Bombyx mori: one gene and its partners. The protein of the gene in region 2 purifies or fractionates together with the protein of the main gene of each other region. This does not show direct contact. Links are inferred from orthologs where the notes say so. Each region holds a gene or a part of one and is shown on either strand. Other genes may lie near its edges.

The links. The genes of interacting proteins can lie anywhere in the genome.
Region 1: the proteins of putative pre-mRNA-splicing factor ATP-dependent RNA helicase PRP1 (region 2) and calcium homeostasis endoplasmic reticulum protein purify together in Homo sapiens (co-immunoprecipitation; 3 studies listed by BioGRID and IntAct, with this or other methods). This does not show direct contact. The link is inferred for Bombyx mori from reciprocal best matches to the Homo sapiens genes DHX15 and CHERP.
Region 3: the proteins of putative pre-mRNA-splicing factor ATP-dependent RNA helicase PRP1 (region 2) and splicing factor 3A subunit 3 fractionate together in Homo sapiens (co-fractionation; 3 studies listed by BioGRID and IntAct, with this or other methods). This does not show direct contact. The link is inferred for Bombyx mori from reciprocal best matches to the Homo sapiens genes DHX15 and SF3A3.
Region 4: the proteins of putative pre-mRNA-splicing factor ATP-dependent RNA helicase PRP1 (region 2) and RNA-binding protein cabeza purify together in Homo sapiens (affinity purification with mass spectrometry; 4 studies listed by BioGRID and IntAct, with this or other methods). This does not show direct contact. The link is inferred for Bombyx mori from reciprocal best matches to the Homo sapiens genes DHX15 and FUS.

The regions. Positions count from the first base shown.
Region 1 is NC_085128.1:5,796,786-5,802,588, forward strand, and holds part of calcium homeostasis endoplasmic reticulum protein, read left to right. Parts: coding exon 1-131; intron 132-411; coding exon 412-559; intron 560-860; coding exon 861-937; intron 938-1,116; coding exon 1,117-1,315; intron 1,316-1,389; coding exon 1,390-1,954; intron 1,955-2,050; coding exon 2,051-2,184; intron 2,185-2,448; coding exon 2,449-2,616; intron 2,617-2,737; coding exon 2,738-2,850; intron 2,851-4,101; coding exon 4,102-4,231; intron 4,232-5,291; coding exon 5,292-5,458; intron 5,459-5,803. UniProt on the Homo sapiens protein: Involved in calcium homeostasis, growth and proliferation.
Region 2 is NC_085130.1:9,707,471-9,714,020, forward strand, and holds the end of putative pre-mRNA-splicing factor ATP-dependent RNA helicase PRP1, read left to right. Parts: coding exon 1-96; intron 97-1,227; coding exon 1,228-1,365; intron 1,366-2,682; coding exon 2,683-2,805; intron 2,806-3,754; coding exon 3,755-3,854; intron 3,855-4,334; coding exon 4,335-4,425; intron 4,426-5,067; coding exon 5,068-5,230; intron 5,231-5,534; coding exon 5,535-5,662; 3' UTR 5,663-5,688; downstream 5,689-6,550.
Region 3 is NC_085112.1:8,792,369-8,798,918, forward strand, and holds part of splicing factor 3A subunit 3, read right to left. Parts: intron 4,343-6,550; coding exon 4,295-4,342; intron 4,225-4,294; coding exon 4,066-4,224; intron 3,644-4,065; coding exon 3,571-3,643; intron 3,454-3,570; coding exon 3,362-3,453; intron 3,185-3,361; coding exon 2,963-3,184; intron 2,812-2,962; coding exon 2,651-2,811; intron 2,449-2,650; coding exon 2,323-2,448; intron 1,860-2,322; coding exon 1,667-1,859; intron 1-1,666. UniProt on the Homo sapiens protein: Component of the 17S U2 SnRNP complex of the spliceosome, a large ribonucleoprotein complex that removes introns from transcribed pre-mRNAs.
Region 4 is NC_085116.1:7,698,814-7,705,024, forward strand, and holds the end of RNA-binding protein cabeza, read left to right. Parts: intron 1-845; coding exon 846-1,003; intron 1,004-1,838; coding exon 1,839-2,488; intron 2,489-2,899; coding exon 2,900-2,927; 3' UTR 2,928-3,751; downstream 3,752-6,211. UniProt on the Homo sapiens protein: DNA/RNA-binding protein that plays a role in various cellular processes such as transcription regulation, RNA splicing, RNA transport, DNA repair and damage response. Binds to ssRNA containing the consensus sequence 5'-AGGUAA-3'.

The sequences.
Region 1 (5,803 bases), on a different chromosome or scaffold from region 2:
TGAGCTTGTCAGCAAGGCACAGATGGAGTCTTTACAGATAATGGCTGATGAGAACAACATCAATCTTAGTGAACTTGACAATATCCTACAGCCAATAATAGACAGTTGCACTAAGGACAGTATTTCTTCAGGTACTTTTTAAATTCAACTGAATAACTTATGACTCAACTGTATACTCTACATTCTTGAATATTGTATGTAATATTTAATCAATCCATATACAATTATATTATTTTCGTTTTTAAATCTTAGCTAATATTTTGCAATTTTTTTTTGTCTATTCAGACTGACCAAACATCATGTTCCCAAACTCAAGAAATACTCGAAATACTGCTAACTGCTACTGTGGGAACAAACAGTTTTATTTTTTGTATTTTTGAATCTGTATTTTATTTTTACATGTAACATTAGGAAAGGGTTGGATACTTCAACATGCTACATCCCATGATGCTGGCAAAGTCATATCTCAACACCTGCTTAGAAAAGTCACTCAAACTGGTGCTGCTTTTACTCAGAAACTACACATCATTTACCTTGTAAATGATGTACTCCATCATTGGTTAGTACCAAAAACAAATTTGATATTTAAAGTGTACATTTAGAATGGTTTGGGTAATTATTGATTGGTTGTGCTTAATAAACGATTATGTTTAAATATTGTAAAGTGTATTTGTCATTATTTGTGGGATATTGAATAGGATATAAAATATATCTAGTAATAATTAAAACAAATACTAAATGATAATGTATTTTTTTTTGTACTATGCTATTAAGCAAAACATAAACATATTTTAATAAAGTATTGTGTCCCTTTTTTATTGTCAATTCGGTGTCTATGATACTATTATTCCTAATTACAGTGCACGCAAAAACGCAGAAGATCTCAAGAAAAATTTGGAAAATGTGGTGGTTCCAATGTTTTGCAATGCCAGTATAGGTAACTTATTTATAATAATGCCCTCGAGATTTAGGTTTGTCTTTATTGTCGAATGCAAATTCTTATCTGCAGCTCAAAGCATCTTTAGAACTCCACCTGTGGTTCTCTCGTCAGTCAGGTAACTTGCTTAGTATCACGCTGACCCATATGACAACTTTTTCATTATTCTGCTGTTTCAGCGGTGACAGAGGAGCAGGAAGCTAAGTTAAACAAGTTACTTCGTCTTTGGGAGTCCAAGTCTAACTATTTCGAGACAGCAGTAATTGAAAAAATGAAGAGTCCCACCAGCTCCTACCAAGATTATCAGAACGCCTTAATCTCACAGCATGCGAATGCTATTTCGCATCTGACACAGCAAACTAAATCTACTTTTGAGAAGTAAATTATGGCAAGAATAAAACAGATTAGTGTTCAATATAACTAAAAAATTAATATATTCTATTTGATTGCAGTTATCAATCACAACACCAAGCTTTTGTTGGTCACACAATGCAACAAATACAACAATTGGAAATGCAAAAACATGCCCTTGAGATGCAAAAAACTCAAGAAAACAATGAAAATGAGCAGCAAAGTAATATGGGAAATTTTCATAATAGTAATTTCAGTGATATAGGATATCCACAGATGGGTGGCTATGATCAAAACTTTAATGCAAACTCAAATAGTCAGCAATATGGTAGTGAAAGTGGGGATAATTACCCAACAAACAACAGTATCAGTGGAAATGAGAATAGTTATGATAGCCAAATATTTGAACAAATAGCAAAGCAAAAGAAAGAAAATATTGAAGATCCTGATTTATCTAATCTACCAAATGTAAACTTCTCCGTACCACCACCAGGCTTCAAGCCTCTTGATAATGCACCACTGCAGGCTTTCCAAAATGGTCTTCCTGACCTTAGCAAACCTCCACCAGGTTTTCCACCATTAATTCCTGAAATTAACAATGAAGATTTGATGCCTTCAGTACCATACTTCGAACTCCCCGCTGGTTTAATGGTTCCACTTATTATGGTAATTATGTTCTTACTTTAAGGATATTTTTTTTCATACTTTCTTTATCATACATGTAAATAATTAATTTGCATGCTAAATTTCATTGTCTTCTAGTTGGAAGATGACAACTATAAACCATTAGACCCGGACAGAATTCGTTTACCACCACCAGCACCTCCAAATGATAGACTTTTAGCAGCCGTTGATGCATTCTTTGCCTCGCCAAATCATGAACGTCCACGAGATAAGTGAGTCTCATTTTCAAATAGCTTTTATTCTATTATATATTCCTTTGAATTCAGAAAATTATATTTCGCATCTAAATATACACTGGATTTAAGGCATAGTATAGTAACTGTCCATCGCAGTAAAGACTGGTGATGATATAGTTACAGTGATTTCACAGAATAATGATGGTTGTTTGCCAGTAATGGCAATAAAAACATGATATAACCTCACTGTTGGTAAATATTGAAGAAGAATATTATGTGTTATATTTAATAAATTTGCAGTGAAGGGTGGGAGAAATTAGGATTATACGAGTATTACAAAGCAAAAAATTCAGCAAGAAAGATGAAAGAAGACGCTATAGCGCAAGGTTATAGACAAAAATCGAAATCACCCAGTCCAATTCCTAAGGATTTACAGAAACAACCTACTCCACCAGGAAGAAGATACAGGTAAAATATATATACTCAAGACACATTAAAGATAGTGTCAATTGAAAGTGTACTAATTTTATATGAAAAATAATTATAACCCCAACTCTTGATCCAATTAATTTTGTGTTGTCTATTTTAGATCACGGAGTAAAACACCCGAACCTAATATACCAATGAAGTCACGATCACGTTCACAGTCACCTAAAAGAAAACACAATATGTGGAAAAGAGAGAGAGAAAGTGCAAGAGAAGGTAATTTTTATTCAAATATTATGAGGTAGTAGAGATTTAGTTGTTCATGACACCCGACGATTCTGGTTATTGAATTAAGTGTAGACAATTTCTAATTTTATCTCGTACATGAATAATCTATACTTCTATACTAATATATAAATCTACAATGGTTTTTACGGATGTTCCGTTATAACTATTGAACCATACATCCAATTGACTTGAAACTTGGTATTCACGTAGAAAATACATGTACTTAATGCATAGACTAATATTTATATGAGTGTTGGACTCCCTACACCAGTTGGGGGGGGGGGGGGGCGTTAATCTTGGTGGGGGTGAGAAATAATAATGTTAATTTTAAAAGCCCAGCGAAGCGGACGGCTACAGCTGGTCTCTTATAATACTATATTAATGTATAGATAATACATGTTTCAAATAATACTACGTTTGCATGCTAGCCTTGGCAAACGTTCACAAAAACACAAGCGTGTGAATAAACGGGGTTGACTTGCCTGAGCTAGTATAGTATAATATAAAGTGAAGTATAATATAAACCTGTGAAAAGTACCCATATATTGTTTTTTTTTTTTTTATGATTGAAAGTTTACTGGTGGCCCGAAGGCCTTTCCAGTTTCACCAGGACAGGTGGGCGAGCAAAGGCTCAGCCAAGAGGGGTGGGATTTGCTAACAACTGCCCGAGCGCCTCCGAAGGAGACCTAACAACTCAAGAGCAATTGTTTCGCGAATGAATCTACTACCGGATCGGAATCGCGACCCGCTGAGAAGATCCGGCGAGAAACTCAGCGGGCTGATGCATGGGTTAGGTTGCACGTCGACCTCTTTGTCGAGTTCGACGAGTACGGTTACCGGGGTCCCTAAGCCTGCCCCTAGTATTAGAGCTGAAGGCATCTAATGCAAAGGTTATTGGATCTGATGGATCCGTAAGGACGTGACCATATATTGTCTATGTGTGTAAAATGTTTCAAAATATATATTAGGCTTAAGTATTTTTTTCACAATGTGGCCCAAAAACTCACTGATGATCTCAAAAATGTCTGGATGTAGGCAGCACAGGAGGTCTTGGCGTTTCTTGAAGAAGCTTATGTTTAGCAGTAAACAAGCTTTTTTCTATTCTATTCTATTCTATCAGTCCAATAAATAATAATAATAATGTGTCCATACAAAAGTTCACTAAGTCTATTTTAACTACTTAATTCGATCGTTTTATATTATGCCAAGTTGAGTTTCTCTATTATTGTTAATTCTCAGGACGAAGACGTACCCGGTCGAGGTCAAGATCAAAATCACGTAGTAATTCCCGCGAACGAGAAAGACACAGAGACTCACCAAGATCGCGCCGTGTGGAACGCTCTAGATCGCCAACACCACCTAGTTTTCTGTGAGAATTTTATCTCTTTAAATTAGGTTTATCTTTCAAATCAGTTGACCTGTGCAATATCAGGTTGATATAATACTGTGTTGGCGACCAATACTGCGCGAATCAAATTTCCTTCGTTTTTAGCACAAATAAAAAGAACTGAATACCTATGAGAATTTTGTCAGATGTTTGTGATTGATTATTCATAAATAGCTAATATAGCGTATCTTATAACTCTCGCTGTGGCAGTGCGCTTCGTAAGAATGACGCGGCTTAATGGTTCACCAATTCCCCGTAGTAGGGCTACTGAACGGCGGAGCACTACACCGGAAAGTGTGCATGTATACAACAAAAGTTTTTAGAGTAATTACTGTCAAATAACAATTATCAATAATTCAAATATATAATTAAGAAAATAGAACAAGTACCTACCATCTTTAAGCATACCTCATATGTATGCCTAAAAAACAAGAATATCACGGGGCTGATGGTAAAGACGCACAGCGCTAACGTCGACGTGCATAGTCGATGCTCGTATACATAGGTCGTTGTGCAGATGCCTTCTATATCTAATGTTTGAAGCGAAGGGATTTAAAAAAGCTTGACTTAATTTGAGTTGCGCGGTATTGTTAGCGAAGCAGACATTGTTGCTAAGCACAAATTTTTATTTAACCTTCATTATTATTTCATTTAAGATATTTAAATTATATTAATTCACGTTATGTTAGAGACAATAAGAATCTTGAATCGAAAAAGTCTTGCTGAGAAAGCCTTCTACATTCTACAATAGTTTATATAGCAGTTGAAGTTGGGATAAAAATTACTTTTTTTATTGCTTAGATGGGTGGAAGAGCTTACTGTCCACCTGATGTTAAGTGGTTACCGGAGCTCATAGACATCTACAACGTAAATGCCGCTACCCACCTTGAGACATGAGTTCTAAGGTTCAGTCACAGTACATTACCCATCTAGAAGACAATTATCAAATAAAATAGCATATATATGTATATTTATTATACGACTATATAATTTGGTCATTATATTGAAAAAATGTCTTTGCATTAATTTGTTTTTTAAATAGTGGTGGAGCATATCCCACGACTTCCGGAGGTATAGATTCTACAAATAAAGGGCATCAAATGCTACAAAAGATGGGTTGGAGTGCAGGGGGCCTTGGTGCTTCAGGCCAGGGTATTGCAGAACCTATCAGTGGCGGTTTCGTAAGAGATAGACAAGACCAATATAAAGGTAATAAATAATAATGCTTGTAATGTTTTGTTAAAATTATTATTTTTCAAATTAGGTAAGTACTTCCTTCCTAATCCCTTCATCTCCTTTTTATCATCGCACCTCCCGCCATCAGAGCAGAGTTCATCCATATTATCCGGAACTGCTGTGTTCATCGACAGTGTGTTTCCAGAGGTCTTTTTTGCCACATACCATCCGGCTATGGAATGAGCTCCCCTCCATGGTGTTTCCCGAGCGCTATGACATGTCCTTCTTCAAAAGAGACTTCTGGATAGTATTAAGCGGTAGGCAGCGGCTTGGCTTTGCCCCTGGCATTGCTGAGGTCCATGAGGGACGGTAACCACT
Region 2 (6,550 bases):
GCATCGATGACCTGGTGCATTTCGATTTCATGGATCCACCGGCTCCGGAGACACTCATGCGGGCGCTCGAGCTGCTCAACTATCTGGCTGCGCTGGGTGAGCTTGTGCTGTATATTGTTTTTGAAATTACTTTAGAAGCGTTCATGGATTATTGTAACTAGAGTTGCCACGAATAGTGATTTGGCCGAATACCGAATATTCGGCAACGCTGTTGGCGGAAGCGCCGAATATTCGGCACAAAGTACATGCTAGTTAGTCGAGCGCGTAAAGAATAATATGACCGGTTGGGACCTGTCTCCATCGTGTGCGGGCGGTGTCCGGCCATTAGACTGTTTCAGTTGCGAGTAAATCACGTCACGGCACGCTTTGTCAGATCAATATAAATGAAACATTACGATTTTGTAGAAAACTTTTATCGTCAGTTCTTTTTCAATTGTTGTTCATTAAAAAATGACACCAATTAATAAAAAATCGGCCATATGGGAATATTATGAGATTTGTAATGAAAATAATAAACAAAAATCATTATTCGAGTTTTTTGACGAAACATGATTTGAGACCTGCCCTTCATTTTTCGGTATTGGGCCGAATAGTACCTATTATTTGGCCCAATACCGAATACCAAACAAAGTGGCCGAATAGGCCGACTACCGAATATTCGTGGCATGTCTAATTGTAACGTCACTAAAAAAGGCAAAGACAAAACAATCATAATATACCATTTGTCTATTCTTTTTGTGGTTTTTCTTAAGCTTTCGTAAGGATACTGTTAGTAATAAATAAAAGTTGGAAATACTTAGCCTTACTTACTTCATGAAGAAATGACAATAACAAAACAAAAGACAGAAATGTAATGGAATTTTGACCATTCAATGGATTTATAGATGTATGCAGTGAGGACAGACCTATGCAGGCTCTGCATGGCCTGCCATGAATTAAGTTTTTTTGCTTAAATCTGTGGGCGTCTATCACCCACCTGATGTTAAGTGGCTACCAGAGCCCTCAGCCATCAATAACGTAAATTTCGCCATCTACATTGAGACATGAGTTCTGAGTATACGTTTTACAGTACAATGGCTGCCTTCGAACCGGAACACATTACTGCTTCACGGCAGAAATAGTCATGGTCGTGGTATCTACTCGCGTGAGCTCACAAGACGACCTAACACCAGTCGAGACAGATGGGTTATTATTCATGATGTTCATTTGTCATTTGATTCTCCACAGATGATGACGGTAACCTCACTGACCTGGGTGCTGTGATGGCGGAGTTCCCCCTCGACCCACAGCTGGCCAAGATGCTGATAGCCAGCTGCAATCACAACTGTTCCAACGAGATCCTCTCCATCACTGCCATGCTGTCAGGTAGGATGTTCCATATCTGTGCTTACAGATAGCGTGGTCATCGTTCTCGTCGAACCCGTCGCTTGCGACGAAGGGCTCGACGAGTAAATTAACCCACAGACACAGCCCACTGAGTTTCTCGCCGGATCTTCTCAGTGGGTCGCGTTTTCAATCCGGTGGTAGATTCTGCGAAGCACGGCTCTTGCTAGGGTTCGTGTTAGCAACGACGTCAGGTTTGAGCCCCGTGAGCTCACCTACTAGTTAAGGTTACACTGAAATAGCCTCTCAAGGGTCTCAGCTTAGGTAGGAAAAAAAACCCAGATAGTATTTGACTTGCTTTAAGTGATTTCTTGTTGGGTATACGATACTGTCTGTTTATTTAAAGAAAAAATCACAAGCCACACTTCACTAGTTTGTTTTAATAGAAATTAATTTTAATAAATTGTCCAACTCCTGAACTGGGGGTAGCCTCAATATCTACAGACTTTTAACTTGGAGAATATACTGGGCAACTAGGTCAAAATGCTGAAACTACAATATATCGAATAAGGATGATGCGATTACAATTGCAAATAAGACAAGCATCATGTAGCTGAATGCACCATAAGCTCATAGAAATAATTTGTTTGATACGATATTGTATAAGTAATGGTTACATGGCTCATCGATGGAGCATGAGACAAAAAATTGTTGAAGAGTGCGGAGTTGAGTGACCCCTCCCAGCACTGACGCTTCCTCACCACATTTGTCATAAAACTAGGGGCCTGTTTCAAACCCAATGAAGGAAGTTTTAACGATGACATTTGTTCTATGCATCAATGGGAGTCACAAGCTATTGTTTTTGTTAAACGAAGAACGCTTATGACGTCACCGTCATGCGAAAGAGACAGCGAGACTACCCGTAGACTGGCTCCACATTAGCAAAGGAAACATCCCCACTGCTCTGTGCTGCTGTTCATACTACCTTCATAGCTTCATATTGTTACGCGCTGGGGTTCAGGATAAATAAAATTCCACCAATGTACACCTAAAAACTGTATTCAACACTTAGAACACTTAAAACACTCAACAAACACTTTAAAACTCGCTTCGAGTAATTCCGATTACTGACTGACTGCGTGCCATCTCTACAACGCTTTTATAGCCGATACCAAATCCCTAGAATTATCGAGAATATTCCACACATCTCTAGTATTGTGTGTACTATCTGACAATAGATGGCGTTGTACTTCTCGAGCGTTCTAGGTGCTACTAGATCCTTCAAATATTCGTTCGACTATTCGGCGATAGATGGCGTTACTCTTACGGGCGTAACAATATTATATTAATAATTTTCAGTGCCGCAGTGCTTCGTGAGACCAAACGAGGCGCGGAAGGCTGCCGACGAGGCTAAAATGCGTTTTGCCCACATCGACGGTGACCATCTTACGCTACTGAACGTATACCACGCCTTCAAACAGAGTGAGTATAGCTTTTTTTGTTGCTTAGATGGGTGGACGAGCTCACAGCCCACCTGGTTTTAAGTGGTTACTGGAGCCCATAGACATTTACAACGTAAATGCGTCACCCACATCGAGATCGGACCTCTTGTGAGTCCGCACGGGTAGGTACCACCACCCTGCCTATTTCCGCGGTGAAGCAGTAATGCGTTTCGGTTTGAAGGGTGGAGCAGCCGTTGTAACTATACTTGAGACCTTAGAACTTATATCTCCAGGTGGGTGGCGCATTTAGGTTGTAGATGTCTATGGGCTCCGGTAACCACATAACACCAGATGGGCTGTGAGCTCGTCCACCCATATTTTTATTTATTTTTTATTCCCCTATATTATCTACAATCAGTATCCTGTACTTTTATTAGATTTATTACTTTTATTAGCGAGCCATCTACTCTAAATTCAAAGATTTATCATTGAACTATATGACATCTTTTCTCTTGAGCTGTTTACCGTAACTTCGTTTCTTCAAGGCGCTACTCCATAATTCGAGTCCATACAGCCAAACTGGCTTAAGGATAACTTTGTAGATTAAAAGTTTGTTGTCAACACTTAGCTTGCTGTTACGTCCGAACAGCCAATGGAGATTTTTGTATCGGATGTTTAGTTCCTGTCTTTTAGTTTGGATGTGGTGTTTCCATGTTAGGCGGAGGTCCAAGTGCATTCCCAGGTATCTTACTTTGTCTTGATGAGGCAATATACCGTTATTGACATGGACAGGTGGACAATCACCTTTTCACAATATGAATGTAACATGGACCAAGTTGTTTGCACTGGCTCTTATTCATCCACCCATATAAGCATTAAAAATAAAATAAAAAAATAACCACTTAGCTACTGGTGGCTTTTCGTTTTTCCAAATAATGCAATTATTTTCTGTATACAAAAATTTATAGAATATTATATTTCATTTTCAGACATGGAGGATCCCCACTGGTGCTATGATAACTTCATTAATTACAGATCGCTAAAGTCGGGCGACAACGTCAGACAGCAACTTAGCAGGATTATGGACAGGTTTGTTTGTGAATAGAGCAAGGGGACTTGATCAGAGTTCAAAATTACATATGATGTGTAGTGGGTAGCCATCATACAACACAAGATAGTCGAAAGACGCCTAAATCTCGCTTACGACATTTTCAAGATAAGCTCGCATATATACAAGTTCCGAACAACAACATTCAGACCGTCGGTCTACCGAGCAATGTTACCCGCTCGGTGAAAGATCTTCCCTTTGTCGTTTAAGCCACTACAGATGTGTCTGAGGAATGTTCTCTGATACCTTAATGATGAAGTCTGATGAATGATGATGAAATTTAAAAGCTCTATAACTTAGTCATTTTTAACAAAATAATGAAACAAAATTTCTATGAAATTGTGATAAAATTCTTCTGATCGAGTAGACAGGTAGAATTTATGTTTGCAAAAACAAACCACGTGAAGCATTTGTCGCTTGCAATTGTTGCAATTCTTATTATATCCTTGTTTTATTTACAGATTTAATTTGAAAAGAACAAGCACAGAATTCACAAGCAAAGATTATTACATCAACATACGGAAGGCACTTGTAAATGGATTTTTCATGCAGGTATTGTCAGTTGAGGCATTTGGTATAAGTAACATACACATAGTGACTTGCAAGCTCACACACCCCACCCTGTGAGATGTGGTGATGGTGGTGATTAGTGGTCGTGGTCATTTACGACCGGACTGTGACATGATAGTATCAAGTTATTATTTTCTACTGAACTGTAGAGTTGACCTCTGAAATTTGAAAATGCACCATGGATTAACAGTGGTTAAAACCATTGTTTGGTACTATGGGTGCTTCAGAAAGAGCTGGTGTAACAGTACAATGGAGAACACTAAAACAATTGCTCTGAGCACTTTCCTGTTGAACCTCATACACATGTGTGTATGAGAATTAGATGATTTCATCTAATTCTCAATACTTGTATATACTAATGATAATAATCTATGTTAGTATTTGCTATCGCCCTATTGCTGATTAGCCACTTGGTGAATAACAAAAAAAAATGTTATTTTTTGAATAGAAAAATATTTACTAACAGTACTTACTTAACACATTTAAAATAATATTTGAATTTTTTTTCTAATCTTCCTTATACACATAACATCATGATGATCGAGATAATTCAGTCATTTGGTTGTGCTTATTAGTTAATGAAGCTGGTTTGTATCAATAGCAGTTGTATGTCGGGTGTTCCAGGTGGCGCACCTCGAGAGGACGGGCAGCTACCTGACGGTGAAGGACAACCAGGTGGTACAGCTGCACCCTTCCACGTGCCTGGACCACAAGCCCGACTGGGTCATATACAACGAGTTCGTGCTCACCACCAAGAACTACATTAGGACTGTCACTGATATCAAGCGTGAGTTGTTACATTATTCAAACTCAATGTTTTTACTACAACTAGTGGTTTCCCAGTAGTAGAGATTCGACTATAACACGGGTCATGGTGTTCAAAAACATGGTAGTGTGTGTAATGTTTTTTTTATTGATTTAATGTATGTATTATTTACGCATAATTTAAAAAAAAATATTAACATTCTGCACTCCTTCTCGGTATTCTCTATAAGTGTGGAAAATTTCATACTGCTTCTGTCTGCGCAATTTTCGTGAAAAGGGATACAAAGTTTTTGCGTCACGTATCAATATATAGATTATGTTAACAGCGGAATGGCTGCTGAAGATCGCTCCCCAGTACTACGAGCTGGGCAACTTCCCGCAGTGCGAGGCGCGGAGACAGCTGGAGCTGCTGCAGGCCAGACTCGACTCCAAGCACTACCAGGAGGGCTTCTAGAATAAAGTACACATCATAGTATCCGTTGAGTGTGTTTTTATTTCGTAACTATAGTAGAATTATTTTGTCGGTGCAGTTTGGGTCATAAAACATAGCCCGGCTAGGGCGGAGAGCGTGTTTCGCGGGCGCAACGCCATTATCGATAAAAACAAATGAGTCATCGAAGGCAGGTACACGGCGGCGGGGTGGTATACGAAGGGTGGTGAGACATGTTACGTTATGAGTCATTTGTTGTACTTACCTGCAAGTTCTCTTCGACATAATGTATAGTAACATTATGTCGAAGAGAGAAATGTGTTTTTATGCATTCACTCTTTGAATTTCTTTAGTGACACAATGGCTACTCCTTTGTTTTGTATCAAAACTGTAGAATTTATTCAAAATAATATTTGCACGTGTTGTTATCAACAATGTATTAAAATTTTTCACTGAAATAAAAATAGATCCCGAAAAGTTACAAAGTGTTAATTTTTGCCGTTCTCGTTAACTGCTGCGGCGATATGTGGTGTGTTTGATTAGTGATTTTTTCTTTAATTTTTATCACTAACCCACAAAATGGCAAAACTAAAAACACTATCGATAACAATAATGCACATCACTATGCCCGTCCGTAAGGCTCGTGAGTGGAAGAGAGAGCGAAACACTCGCTTCACCGCTCCGACTACTTATGACCCAAACTGCACGGACAAAATAATTCTAGTATAGTAGGGAAGCGGGCCGTGACGCGCACGCCATCTATCCTACGTTGACTGTGTAAATACCACACGACCTTCTAACGGAAGTATAGAATAAGAATATAGTACACATGTGCAGTAAAAGCTCTTTATCCGCGGAATATATGTCTCGTAATACGCCGCGATTATCGAATGGTAATGATATTATGATAAT
Region 3 (6,550 bases), on a different chromosome or scaffold from region 2:
TCACAAAAATGTACCTCTGTTAAGCCCCAATAAGAAACTCCCAACCATACCATGAGCGAGGATGGAAAATGACCTCGTTGGATACGCGGAATACGGTTGCTCGCTTCTTCACTACTGTGTGCGTACACCTTATCATTTTGTTTGTTGTAGCTCTCTTCTACGGTAAAAATTTTTTCATCCGAAAAAAGAATTTCCCGATATTTTTTTCCTGCGTACCGCTTCAACAAAGCGCGGCATCTCTTCAGTCTCAGGTCCATTAGACGAGCATTCAAACGATGTCCTGTTTTTCTTCGATATGCCCGAAGCCCTTTTTTTTTTTTTTTTTTAACGCTGGGGAATCCATTTACGGATACCCGGTCCGGGGGGGTAACGAACCGGGTTATGTCGGACTCCGGCGCCTCCTGAGAGGAAGAGGGGGACGAGAAGGTCCTCCACCTCCCCGAATTTCTCGCAAGAGACTACGCCTTGAAAAAGGCGCGCGAAGCACTTGCCCCGCAGAACGACTACCGACTAAACCCCATCGAGCTCCACCACACCGGCTACACCAGACATACGGTACCGCAGTGCGCGCCGAAAGTCTGCCTTCGCCGGTATCCGTCCTGATGATAAGACGGGATTTCATATCCGGGAAAATCCCGAAGGACGTCATTTCGGGAGATACACCGTGGGCGGCGCACAGGAGCCACCTTGCACCGCTCCACCACCGGACCGACAGTCGAGTACCGGGCGCCCCCGCACCCGCCACCTGATAGTCCCTACGGGGGCTGAGCGGGAGCTTCACGCCCGCGCCGGCCATCCCGCCTTCTGCGCTGAGGTGCTGAAGAGGGATCCCACTCCCTTTCACGCTCCTCAGCGTCACGGGACGCCATTACCAGGTCACAAAACCTGGCCATGGCCTCCCAATGCCCGAAGCCCTAAGTCTTCATTTAACACCCTTTTCACCGTGGTTCTGCTTAACCCCATCTGAAGGGCCAACAGTTTCTACTTACGTTTGGGATTTCTTTGAATTCGCGCCTTCACAGCTTTTATCACTGCTGGAGTCCTAACAGACCGAGGGCGACCACTTCTTGACCTGTCATCTACACTAGAGTCTTCATTGTATCGTTTGATGGTACGATAAACGAATCTTTTGGTTATATTCAAATTTTTCAGTATGTTAAAAATTTGAATTGGCGCGTAACCGCAACGATGCAACGCAATAACTGCAACACGGTCTTCTTTAAGCGTCCACTCCATATTTAAAAATGAGTAAAATTCTAAAAGTATACATTTTTATTTTCATGAACAAATCGAAATTCGAATTCAATAAACTTTTTTGTGGCCAGCATTCTAAAATAAAAGTTTTTACTGTGTGACAATACTTATGACCTGACTAGGTATTTATAAAATTTCGCCTGCATATTTACTTTCTAATTCTGTTGCAGAATTATGCAGTTAATAATTATGAGGTTTCAAAGAAGTTCATGCATATGTATTCAATGCATATTTATTTATAAAACATGAAACAAATCAGAACATTTGAACCTCAACCCCAGTCATAGTTGCATAATTTGATATGAATAGACGCGATGTCTTGCCCCATCAGCCTGTTATTTACTAATACATGAGTAATGTTTACATTCGAACTGTTTTTCACAACTTTAGCAAATAATAATCTAAAACTCACCTTTCCATCCCATCCCAGTGGCAAATTCTTAGGATTATATGGCACTTCATCATCATCTGAATCAAGGTCTGGTGCTGCAGAAGCATCACTTTCGTCACCGCTTTCGTCGCGACGTTCACCAGCAGCTCTTGCAGCACGACGCGTTACATTTTCAATAGTTGATGCTCGTGTACTACTTATTATAGTCGCGAACCTATGGAATTCAATCAAAATAACACCTTCTTATGTTAGTTTCTTTTTAGGGCAAAGAAAGCCTACACTTAATGTATTATCCTGTCTTGTATACACATTAAGCTTTTCCTCATGGCTAACCAAATCAATATCAATTGCATTTGTATCCTACTCTACTATTAGTCCTAGTATCCTATTTACATGCCTAGAGTTAGAGATAAACCTTCTAGTACTGTTCTGGTACAACTTTTCATTATATTAGCTCTACCGTTGCTCCACTCCAGCCTCGCTTGCACAAAGAAGTTGCTTTCTAAATCTATCAGTTTTCACTCTGCAGTCTAAAAACTATATTCCTTGCATGTTGCTTAGATGTTTTAGTTAGTAAATTATAAAATTAGTAACCAACACTATTTTGAATATTGATTTGGATATTGATTCTTTATTGTTTGGTAATTGAATAATATATTCTACAATAATCTACTTACCTATAAACCTGTGCTTCAATTGCAGCAATGTCTTTTTGTCTTTGTTGTGTGGTAGCCTTTGCCTTATTTCCCTTTTTCGCAACAAGAGACTTGTCAAGGGCTGTTTGACCTTTAGTGCTAAACAACCTAGAATAAAAAAAATATTAAATGTTTTTTTATAGTATTGATAAGAGGACGAGCTCAAAGCCGACCTGCTGTGAAGTAGTTACCGGAGCCCATAGACATCTATAACGTAAATACGGCCACCCACCTTGAGATATGAGTTTTAAGGTCTCAGTATAGTTACAATGTTGTAAACTTACGAAAAAAAAGCTAATATAATACTCACCTCTGTGCTCTTTCTTCCAAAGTTCCACCACATTTTAAGCCGAGAGCCATAAGAGCTGATTTTAATCTGTCCAGGCCAAGAGACGCCAACTCTTCCCATGATGAAAAAGCCGACAGATCTAAATGCGCCCCCACATTTGTTAAAGCTCCACCAGTTTCTTTCTACAAGAATTTAAATGTCAATGTTACCAGTACTAATCATTTTCTAAATTTATTTTCAAAATTTAATTTCAATTCAATATATAATAATACTAAACAAAATTATTTTCATAAAATGAAGTACACAATTATATTTTTATAATTTCATACTTACAGGCCATCCTGGAAATGTACCAGACTCCCATTGTTTTAAAAACTCCTGATGCCCTAGAGCCATTTCTTGAGCCTGATCCAAAAGAGGTTTAACTCTGGACACAAAATCTTTCATATAAGTGAGCAATGCACGAATGTAATTCCTGTATTCACTATTCTTCCTTTCACGAGGTATGTCAAAGAGATGATCAAATATGCTCAAGTATGTAATATAATCTACTTTCTGTAACAAAAATACTAGTCTTTTTGGTTTGGTCTTAAAATCCTACAATCAACATGCTGGCTTTTAAATGACTATATATGACTATATATAAATATGTTCCAAATAAACTATATGAACATTCACATTGTACTGTATAATTTATATAACTTTTATTATATAAAACAATGAAATACTTGCCTCAATACCTTTCAAGTTAATGTACTTTTCATAACACGAATGTAGGTCCAAATACTTTCCATAGCCTTCTTCATCAGTGAACTCGACAGGAACTGAAAATTTATAATTATTTTTTTCTAATACAATTAATAATAAAATAACATAACTTCTGTTGAAAACAACAATGATGACAATATGTACAAAAAATATTTAATATTTCCAACAAATACCTGTGTAATCCTCAGCAGGATTTTCCCTTTGATTTGCCAACTCTTCAAATTCTACAGACATGGGTACAGATATCTACAACAGAATACATCATGCATATGAAATAAATTTTAAATATATTGGGTACTGATGAAGGTGTTTATGAAAAATGTTAGGGTGCTAATCTGACCCATAAAATTTAAATAGATCCTTAACCTGTCTTACTCATCGCTTTTACATTCATGTATTTATTTTCTGGATCCCAATCAAGTGTCACTCCTCGAGACAGCTAGCAAAATTAAACAACTGGCTGCATTCTGGCAAGGGAGTCAGGATGCTTGTATCCCACACATCCCACATAAACATGAATTAAATCAAAATATAAAAAAATGGTTTATTAATCAAATTATTATGCAAAATTTATACAAGTAATAACTTTTCAGGTGTAAAAATTTCTACATCTACATAATAGATGCACTAAATCACAAGTATTTTCTATTATAATTATTGTAACTCACTTCATTTGGATGTTTTCTATGAAACTCTTTAATTTGCTTAAGTCTCGAATAGAACTCCTGGAACTCATGTGGACCTGACAATGCTGATATTTCTTCTTTTCGTAATCCATCTTTATCTTCATACAATTCTTTAAGTCTTATAGAGGCTTCAATATATCTCTAGAAACAATTAATATATGCTAAAAGACTAGTGGTTACACAAACTGTAAATTTAATTGTATATACATACATCATGTAAATTCTTCAAACGATGATCAGCATTTATAGTCTCCCGATGCTGAAGAAACATAACCATTATAATATATTTCAGCATAGTATGTAGTATATGCAAAAAAAAATTCAAATTCTATAACATACAGTGTACAATTATAAAACAACAAGTATTAATTAGGTTTACATCAAAAATAAATATATTCCATAGCAAATACTTTCATCATGAAGCAATTCTGATTTCCTATACATTAGAGAAAAAAATTACATTTCCTCAAGTCTAACATTAATTCCTACGATCATGAGCTCTGTTAGATATATAATATTTATTTTTGGCTTAGAGAAATAATGCATAATTATTAATTATGCATAATCAGTTACAAGTACCTAAGGAGAAAAAACGAAAAAAAGAGATGACGAAATAAAAGAGCGCTGGAAGATATATTTTGAAAAATTAATGAATGAGGAGAACGACTGGAATAGAGTGATTAATAGGAAGCCAGAGAACGTCGGATTTGTGAATGAGATTAGTATGTATGAAGTTAGAGAAGCAGTGAGAAGTATGAAAAGCGGAAAATCGGAAGGACCAGACGGTATACCAGTGGAAGTATGGAAGATACTGGGAGAAGACGGATATAAGTGGCTGACTTTATTCTTCAATAAGCTGCTGCAAGAAGAAGTGATCCCTACGGAATGGAGCATCAGTACGCTGGTGCCCATATACAAAAATAAAGGGGATGTGCAAGACTGTGGCAGCTATCGGGGAATAAAGCTTATGTCTCATAGTATGAAAGTTTGGGAGAAAGTGATAGAAAAGCGATTGCGAGATGAAAGTGAGATCACCCAAAACCAGTTCGGGTTCATGCCTGGTCGCGGGACAACGGACGCCATATTTGCACTACGCCAAGTGTGCGAAAAACATCGCGACGTGCACAGGAATCTGCATATGGTGTTCGTTGATCTAGAAAAAGCGTACGACCGAGTACCTAGAGTAGTTTTGTGGTGGGCATTGAATGAGAAAGGTATACCTGGTAAGTATGTGAGGTTAATCTGTGCCATGTACAGTCGAGCCAGGACGTATGTACGAACCGCCGCGGGGAATTCCGACGAGTTCAATGTGGCAGTGGGCTTACACCAAGGGTCTGCACTAAGTCCCTATCTCTTCCTGCTTGTGATGGATGCCTTGACATCGGAGATACAGGAAGAGCCCCCTTGGTGTATGCTGTTTGTCGATGACATAGTACTCGTCGGAGAAAACGGGCTCGAGGTCCAAAACATACTGGAGAAATGGCGATGCAAGTTGGAGAGTGTTGGCCTAAAAATCAGCAGATCGAAAACCGAACATCTGTTCTGTGATTTTGGCGGTCTCTCCAATTTTACACCCATTTCCCTCGACGGAACACCTTTGCCAGTATGTCAAGACTTCCGATACCTAGGGTCTGTTATCCAAAGCGACGGTGAACTGGATCGTACTGTGAGGCACAGAATTGACGCAGGATGGATGAAATGGCGGCAGGTCACGGGCACCATATGTGACTCGCACATCCCTCTTCCCCTAAAAGGGAAGATATATAAGACCTTAATAAGGCCTGCCGTCTTGTATGGATCAGCTTGTTGGACAACGAAAGTGGCGGATGAAAGGCGATTGCATGCAGCAGAGATGCGAATGTTGCGATGGATGTGTGGAGTAACGAGAATGGATAGAATACGGAATGAATATGTTAGAGGAAGTCTGAAAGTGGCACCTGTGACAGAGAAGCTGAGGAGTGCACGTTTGGGATGGTATGGACATGTGATGAGACGGAATGAAAATGAGGTTGTTAAGAGAGTGTTAACTATGAATGTGGAAGGATTTAGAGGAAGAGGTAGACCTAAGAAGAAATGGATGGATTGTGTGAAAGACGATATGGGTAGGAGGGGAGTGAGCGAAGAAATGGTATATGATAGAAGAGTATGGAAGGAGAAAACATGTTGCGCCGACCCCAGGTGACTGGGAGAAGGGCAGGATAATGATGATATGTAATTACATAATAATGCAATTTGTTGATTTAGAAAAAGCGTATGATAGGGTTCCCCGTGAGGTTTTGTGGTGGAGCATGAAAGTGAAAGGAGTGCCAGGGAAATACCAACGGCTTGTTCGAGCTATGTACGGTAGAGCTAGTACGTACGTACGCTCCGCAGCTGGCAATAGCGACGAGTTCAGTGTGGCGGTAGGCTTACACCAGGGATCAGCTTTAAGCCCTTACCTGTTCATCCTAATAATGGATGCCCTAAC
Region 4 (6,211 bases), on a different chromosome or scaffold from region 2:
TATGCGAGCGATGCTGTTGTCATATTATTAATTTGTATTTATCTAAGGGGCTGCCAAACATGGTATTCTACTGGTTAACTGGCTCTATAATATAAGTAGGTTTTATCTTATTATATGGTTCAATAAAGAAAAGTTGATCAGGTGTGAAAAACGTCAGCTTGGAAATGTGTATTACGAATTACTAAATAGATTGTAAGGTAAATAATATTTTAGGTAAAATGTGCTATATGTGTTTCACAATAATATCAAGAGTTTATTGAGGATTGTGCTTATATAAGGGAACTTACAGTATATGACAACCTCAAATATGAATATGTAGTGACATATGCTAGCAAGTAATAAAATGAATGATAACTACACAAAACATTTATTTTATCTCTAAGGAGACACCACTATTTATTGTAAGAGGCATAATCTTCAACAGAGTTATAATATTGTGACTGATGATAATTAGGTAGTATGGTTACTTGATTAAAGTGTATTTGACCAGTAATAATGCATATTGTTTTGGCAGCCCTAAAGTTATGGTATAAAGTCATGCAAAGGTTTTGTCATCGACAAAGAAAAATAATATTTTTTAATATTTGTCTATGTTAAGAAGGTATTTAGGACACGTAATTCTAGTGTGTCCAAAGGTAATATTACAAGCGCGAATCCAAATATCATCTATTTTAAGAGGTGAATTGTACATTTTAGAATGACAAGCTAAATAACTTATTCAATTAGATAATTTTAGACTTCATTATTTAAAATTAAATAAATTATGTTGTTTATTTATACAGCAACTAGAATTGTTTATTTACAAGCTATTTATTCCCCCATAATTGAATAAAATTTTCCTTCAGGAGGCGGCGGAAGCGGTGGATATGCCGACCGTGGTGGCGGTGGTGGTGGTGGCGGTGATATGGTAACTCAAGAAGATACTGTCTTCGTTCAGGGAATGAATCCATCTACTACTGAAGAGGAGCTGTGCCAACATTTTGGAGCTATTGGTATAATCAAGGTAATTGAATGGTAAAATATAAATTTGGAAAAATGTTTCATTTTCCTTCTTTTTTGGATGTATGTAAACTATGCTAAATCAAGCATAACATAATTTTGCCGCAAAACGCCCCAATATTGAAAAGAGAAATAATATTTAGAATTTCATATGTACTGAGTTTTTTCAATTTTAATGAACTGGTTTTAGCAGCCTGCCATTAGTAGATGATACATTAAATATATGTTATACATAGCACATCTTCCTTATCTCTCTTACCGCTTTCTTTTCCTCCAAACCAAATGTTATGGTTTGTTTAGTAGTAATACAATTAGCCTTGGCTCAATTCCTCAAAATAGGAATTTGGGAGTTATGGAAAAAATATAATTATTCTGCTACTGTGGATGACGTAGAAACGCCGATTTTTTTCCCCTGCCTAATCGTTGGTAACCTAAGCCGCTATTCCAACTTTGCGCGGACCAGTAGATGAGCTCACGGATTGAACCTAAGAAATTTTGCTTAAACCAGCTCTAGCAAAAGCAGTGCTTCGCCGGATCGACATCGCGACCCACCGAGAAGATCATGGTACCAGGACGACCGAGTAAGGACGCGGCTCGGTCGTGTACTTAAACGTTGAATTGGTGGCTGTAACTTAAGAAAAACTGTTTCGATTATCTGAACTATGAAATGATATCTTCGACTATGTATTGACTACACGCAGCTTAAAATTTAGCCTCAGAAACTAATAATTAATTAATATTTGTTCAATTTTCGCTACTCTTAATATCTCTAGGAAACCTAAGAGCGACTTTATAGTTTTAGACCAAAATTAATTAAGTAAAATCAATTTTAATTTTAGACTGATAAAAAAACACAACGGCCGAAAGTATGGATGTACAAAGACAAATCTACTGGCCAACCTAAAGGAGAAGCGACTGTAACTTACGAAGATTCCAATGCAGCTTCTTCTGCAATTCAATGGTTCGACGGCAAAGACTTTAATGGAGCAACTATTAAAGTTTCACTTGCCCAACGACAAAATACTTGGGGAGGTGGCAAAGGAGGCGGTGGTGGCTTCAGAGGAGGACGAGGTGGAGGCGGCGGGGGAGGAGGTCGCGGTGGTGGTGGAGGCAGAGGGGGTGGATCTCAAGGTTCTAACAACCGTGATGGAGACTGGAGATGTCCAAACCCCAATTGTGGAAACACCAACTTTTCTTGGAGGAAGAATTGTAATAGATGTAATGAAGAGAAACCCGGCGGCGGTGGCGGTGGAGGTGCTCCAGGCGGAGGGCGAGGCGGCGGTCCTCCAAGCCGTGGAGGCCGTGGCGGCGGTGGCGGGAGAGGTGGAGGAGGAGGAGGTGGCTGGGGTGGCCGCGGGAGTGATCGAGGAGGTGGTGGACGCGGCGGTAGCAGAGACGGTGATCGTCGCAGTTATGGAAGCAGTGGCGGTGGTGGAGGAAGGGACGGTGACCGCGGTAATGGTGGGGGCGCTATGAGAGGAGACGGCGGGTAAGTTTTACAGTATCATCATCATCTAATTTTTATGCGTTTTCCAATCACCAACCCCTAGTTTTTTATGATTTTTAAATAAAAATATGCTCAAATTAAGGTTTAGGTTTTAAATAGGAAGAAGTTGTTAAGACTATCAGAATAGAAGAGATAAGAATTTATTAAGAAATACCCACCTAAATAGTACATTATGTGCTAAACAAAACTTATTTACTAGACACTACATAAACAGTCTGAAATTTAAATAAAGACATTAATAATTAAAATTTGGCAACTGGACATACTATGTCCACACACTAATTATCAAGCGAGATATATATAGATAGATTGCCTTAGAAACAAAAAAATGTGAATGACATCATAAAATAAACATATACAAATTGATAAATGATTTCAAATATATTGTTTCAGCAGCAGAGACCGACAACGACCTTACTAAATATAATTTTAAGATTTAATCATAATGTTAATACTTCCTTCTGACTGAGATCTAAGTTTGTAAAAACGTTCAATCTAAACTTTCCATCATATTACAGTGTATATAAGATATCTTGAACACTTTAGATGCATTTCAGACATGTATGCTTCTTACTGAATTAGAATTTACTTGAATTAAAAATGTAATCTTTCATTAATAACTAGAAATACTAACAATTGATGCTTTTCACCCATTTTTTAAATTAACTATTGTACAATAGATTTTTTTTTAGTTTTTAGTGTGCTAAATATAAAATCTATATATTTATAGAGATCGAGATTTATTTCTAATGTTGTCAATAACATGTCTCGCTTATCAAAGCAAAGGGAATCAAAGTGATAGCCTCGTTATGATTGGTTAAAATATTGTACAAGTGTGTAGAGAATTAAAATTAAAAAAATTAGAATGGAGATTTCTTAATATTCATTTATTAATAGGTGTAAAAACAAAATTATAAAATTTTTAGGTTTTTTGTTTTTTTTTTTATTAATTGCAGAAACAGTAATTTTATGTGTAAGTGAAATGTACTTTTAGTAGTATTCCTGCTGCAAGTTAAGGTTTTTTCAGTTACATATTATTTTGGTCAGATATCTAGGATTTTTAATAAATAAACTTATTATATATATAGTACATGGACTCATTAACAACCCTGTCTCGGTCTCTATTTTAATAGAATTATAAACGTGTTGTATTTCTAATAACTGAAATGTAAATAGGATTAAGTTATGCATTTTACTACAACCCTTGGTATAGAAAAACCTCTCAATAAAAACATTTTGTAACTATCTCAAGTTTTTTATTAAATGCAGAAAGGCACTTTATGTGAGTATGGAGAATGACAATGAATATAACAAGTGTATTAGGTGTTATAAATAAAATACAATTAAAAGTTAAGAAATTTATTTAAAAAAATATACTTAATATTAAAAATGATGTGTCGCCGTCGTTATTATCATTTTCTAATAGTGCTACCCCTTGGATTAAATTTATGGTAGCACCTGAGCTGGTGGAAGGAGTTGGCTCCTCATCGTTGACATAACGAAGAGTCGCTGTCGTCACTGGCGTAAATAATAAAACGCTCAGTGACTGAATCGACTATATGGTCATTGGTATAATTTGGTCCTGGCATTGCAAACAAATTTAAAAGAATAACACTCGTAACAAAAACTAAATTTAAAACAAATTTTTTTTTATTGCCTAGATGTGTGGACGAGCTCACAGCCCACCTGGTGTTAAGTGGTTACTGGAACCCATAGACATCTACAACGTAAATGCGCCACACACCTTGAGATAGAAGTTCTAAGGTCTCAGTATAGTTACAACGGCTGCCCCATCCTTCAAACCGAAGCGCATTACTGCTTCACGGCAGAAATAGGCGGGGCGGTGGTACCTACCCGTGCGGACTCACAAGAGGTCCTACCACCAGTAATTACGCAAATTATAATTTTGCGGGTTTGATTTTTATTACACGATGTTATTCCTTCACCGTGGAAGTCAATCGTGAACAATTATGAAGTACGTATTTCATTAGAAAAATTGGTACCCGCCTGCGGGATTCGAACACCGTTGCATCGCTACGAATGCACCGGACGTCTTATCCCTTAGGCCACGACGACTTCAACAATTCAAAAATAATAACAACTCGTAACAAAAACTCAATATAAACAAAGGGTTCGTACAATTTAGTAGGCGCATGTGTAATCAGGAGCGAACGGAACATGGACGCGGTGCGGGAGGGGAGGGTCGACTGACTCACCAATCGCGCGCTTGGAACGGTGCTACGTCTTTCCCCGCGTCCCGCTTGACAACCAAAGAGACCTAAAAAACGACTTCTGCGCATCTGACGATTCTTGCCAAGTTACGTGCCGGGTACTATATCTCTTGTAACTTATTATTTCCGATTGCGTTTTGACAACGCCTGCGATGTTGATAATCCAATTTGTCATATTCTGATCACAAAGTTCTGAGATTAAGTGTTCACATGTGGACAAAGCGATGGAGAATTGTTAAATCTAAATCGGAAGGCCTCATCATTAGGTGATAAGAAGACTGCATTGATATTCATAGTTATTTCCTGACATTGGCGAAGTTTATACGAATGAAATATAGGAAGAAAACTTTAATAATACTTTTAATTTAATACTTTTCTTTACATGCCATAATTTATTGATAAGTTTTTAGTCAATTGAAAGATTGAGCAAGAGCGAACCGGTGACAGTGAAAATGCAGACAGTTCGCCGGTCTAGCTGGCTATTTAATGACTTAATGTCTGACTACCCTCGGACAGGGCCTGCGCCCATTGCGTCTCATTTCTGAATCTAAATCCGGGACGACAAAATTTATCGCCGATCGATAGGATATTTTCCCAAGGTGAAGCTAACGCGTTTGAGGTCTAACCGGAGAATGGTGACGGAATCAGTGTCACTAAAAAAACAGCGTTTTTTTCGATTTGTGGAAAGAAATCCCTACGCCGAGACGCGCGCTTGGCTGTGGGACTACCGAAGCCACGCACTAAACGATACCCTTGAACTTTCGCCCGAATGTATAAACCCTGCCCAAGATTACACGGGACAACCGCGATTAATTCTGCAATCAGACACCATGCCATCCTGAGGAGGCCTAATAGACAGTATTCGGCGAAAACGAATTTTGCAGAGTTATATACGGCCGCACTTATCTTTAACCCGTTACGCTCAATGAAGTTGCCAGCAGTTCATCAAAAACAGAGTTCGGGATAGGATGTCCACCTGTGACGCGGGACGGTTGTGAACACCTGAAACCATTGCTTTTACCTAGTGTATTATCAGGGTATCATTTTTTCGTAAGCATGTACCATCTGGTCCTGGAATGAACTAGTCTTCAAGATATTTGCCTAGCGCTATGAAAAATCTCTTCAAACAAGGTTTATAAAAAGCCCTCAATGGAAAACAGCAGTTTGACTGTGTCCCAGTATTGTAGTCGTTCATAAGCAATGAGAATTACCATATACTATCAGATCGAATTTGTGTCCTAAAGACGTCCGGTGTACTCGTATTGAACAATGCAACTATGCAAATGTTCACATACTACACAGACTGGTTCCAATATTTTTTTTAAATACAGAGAACATTGCTGCCCATTTTCCAGAGAATGCCTTATGATATTTTACGTCAACCACCAGAAGAGATTTAGTTATGCCTTTCCATGGCTCCCAGCCCACGTCTTTACGGATCCATCAGATACAATAACCGTTGCATTAGACACCC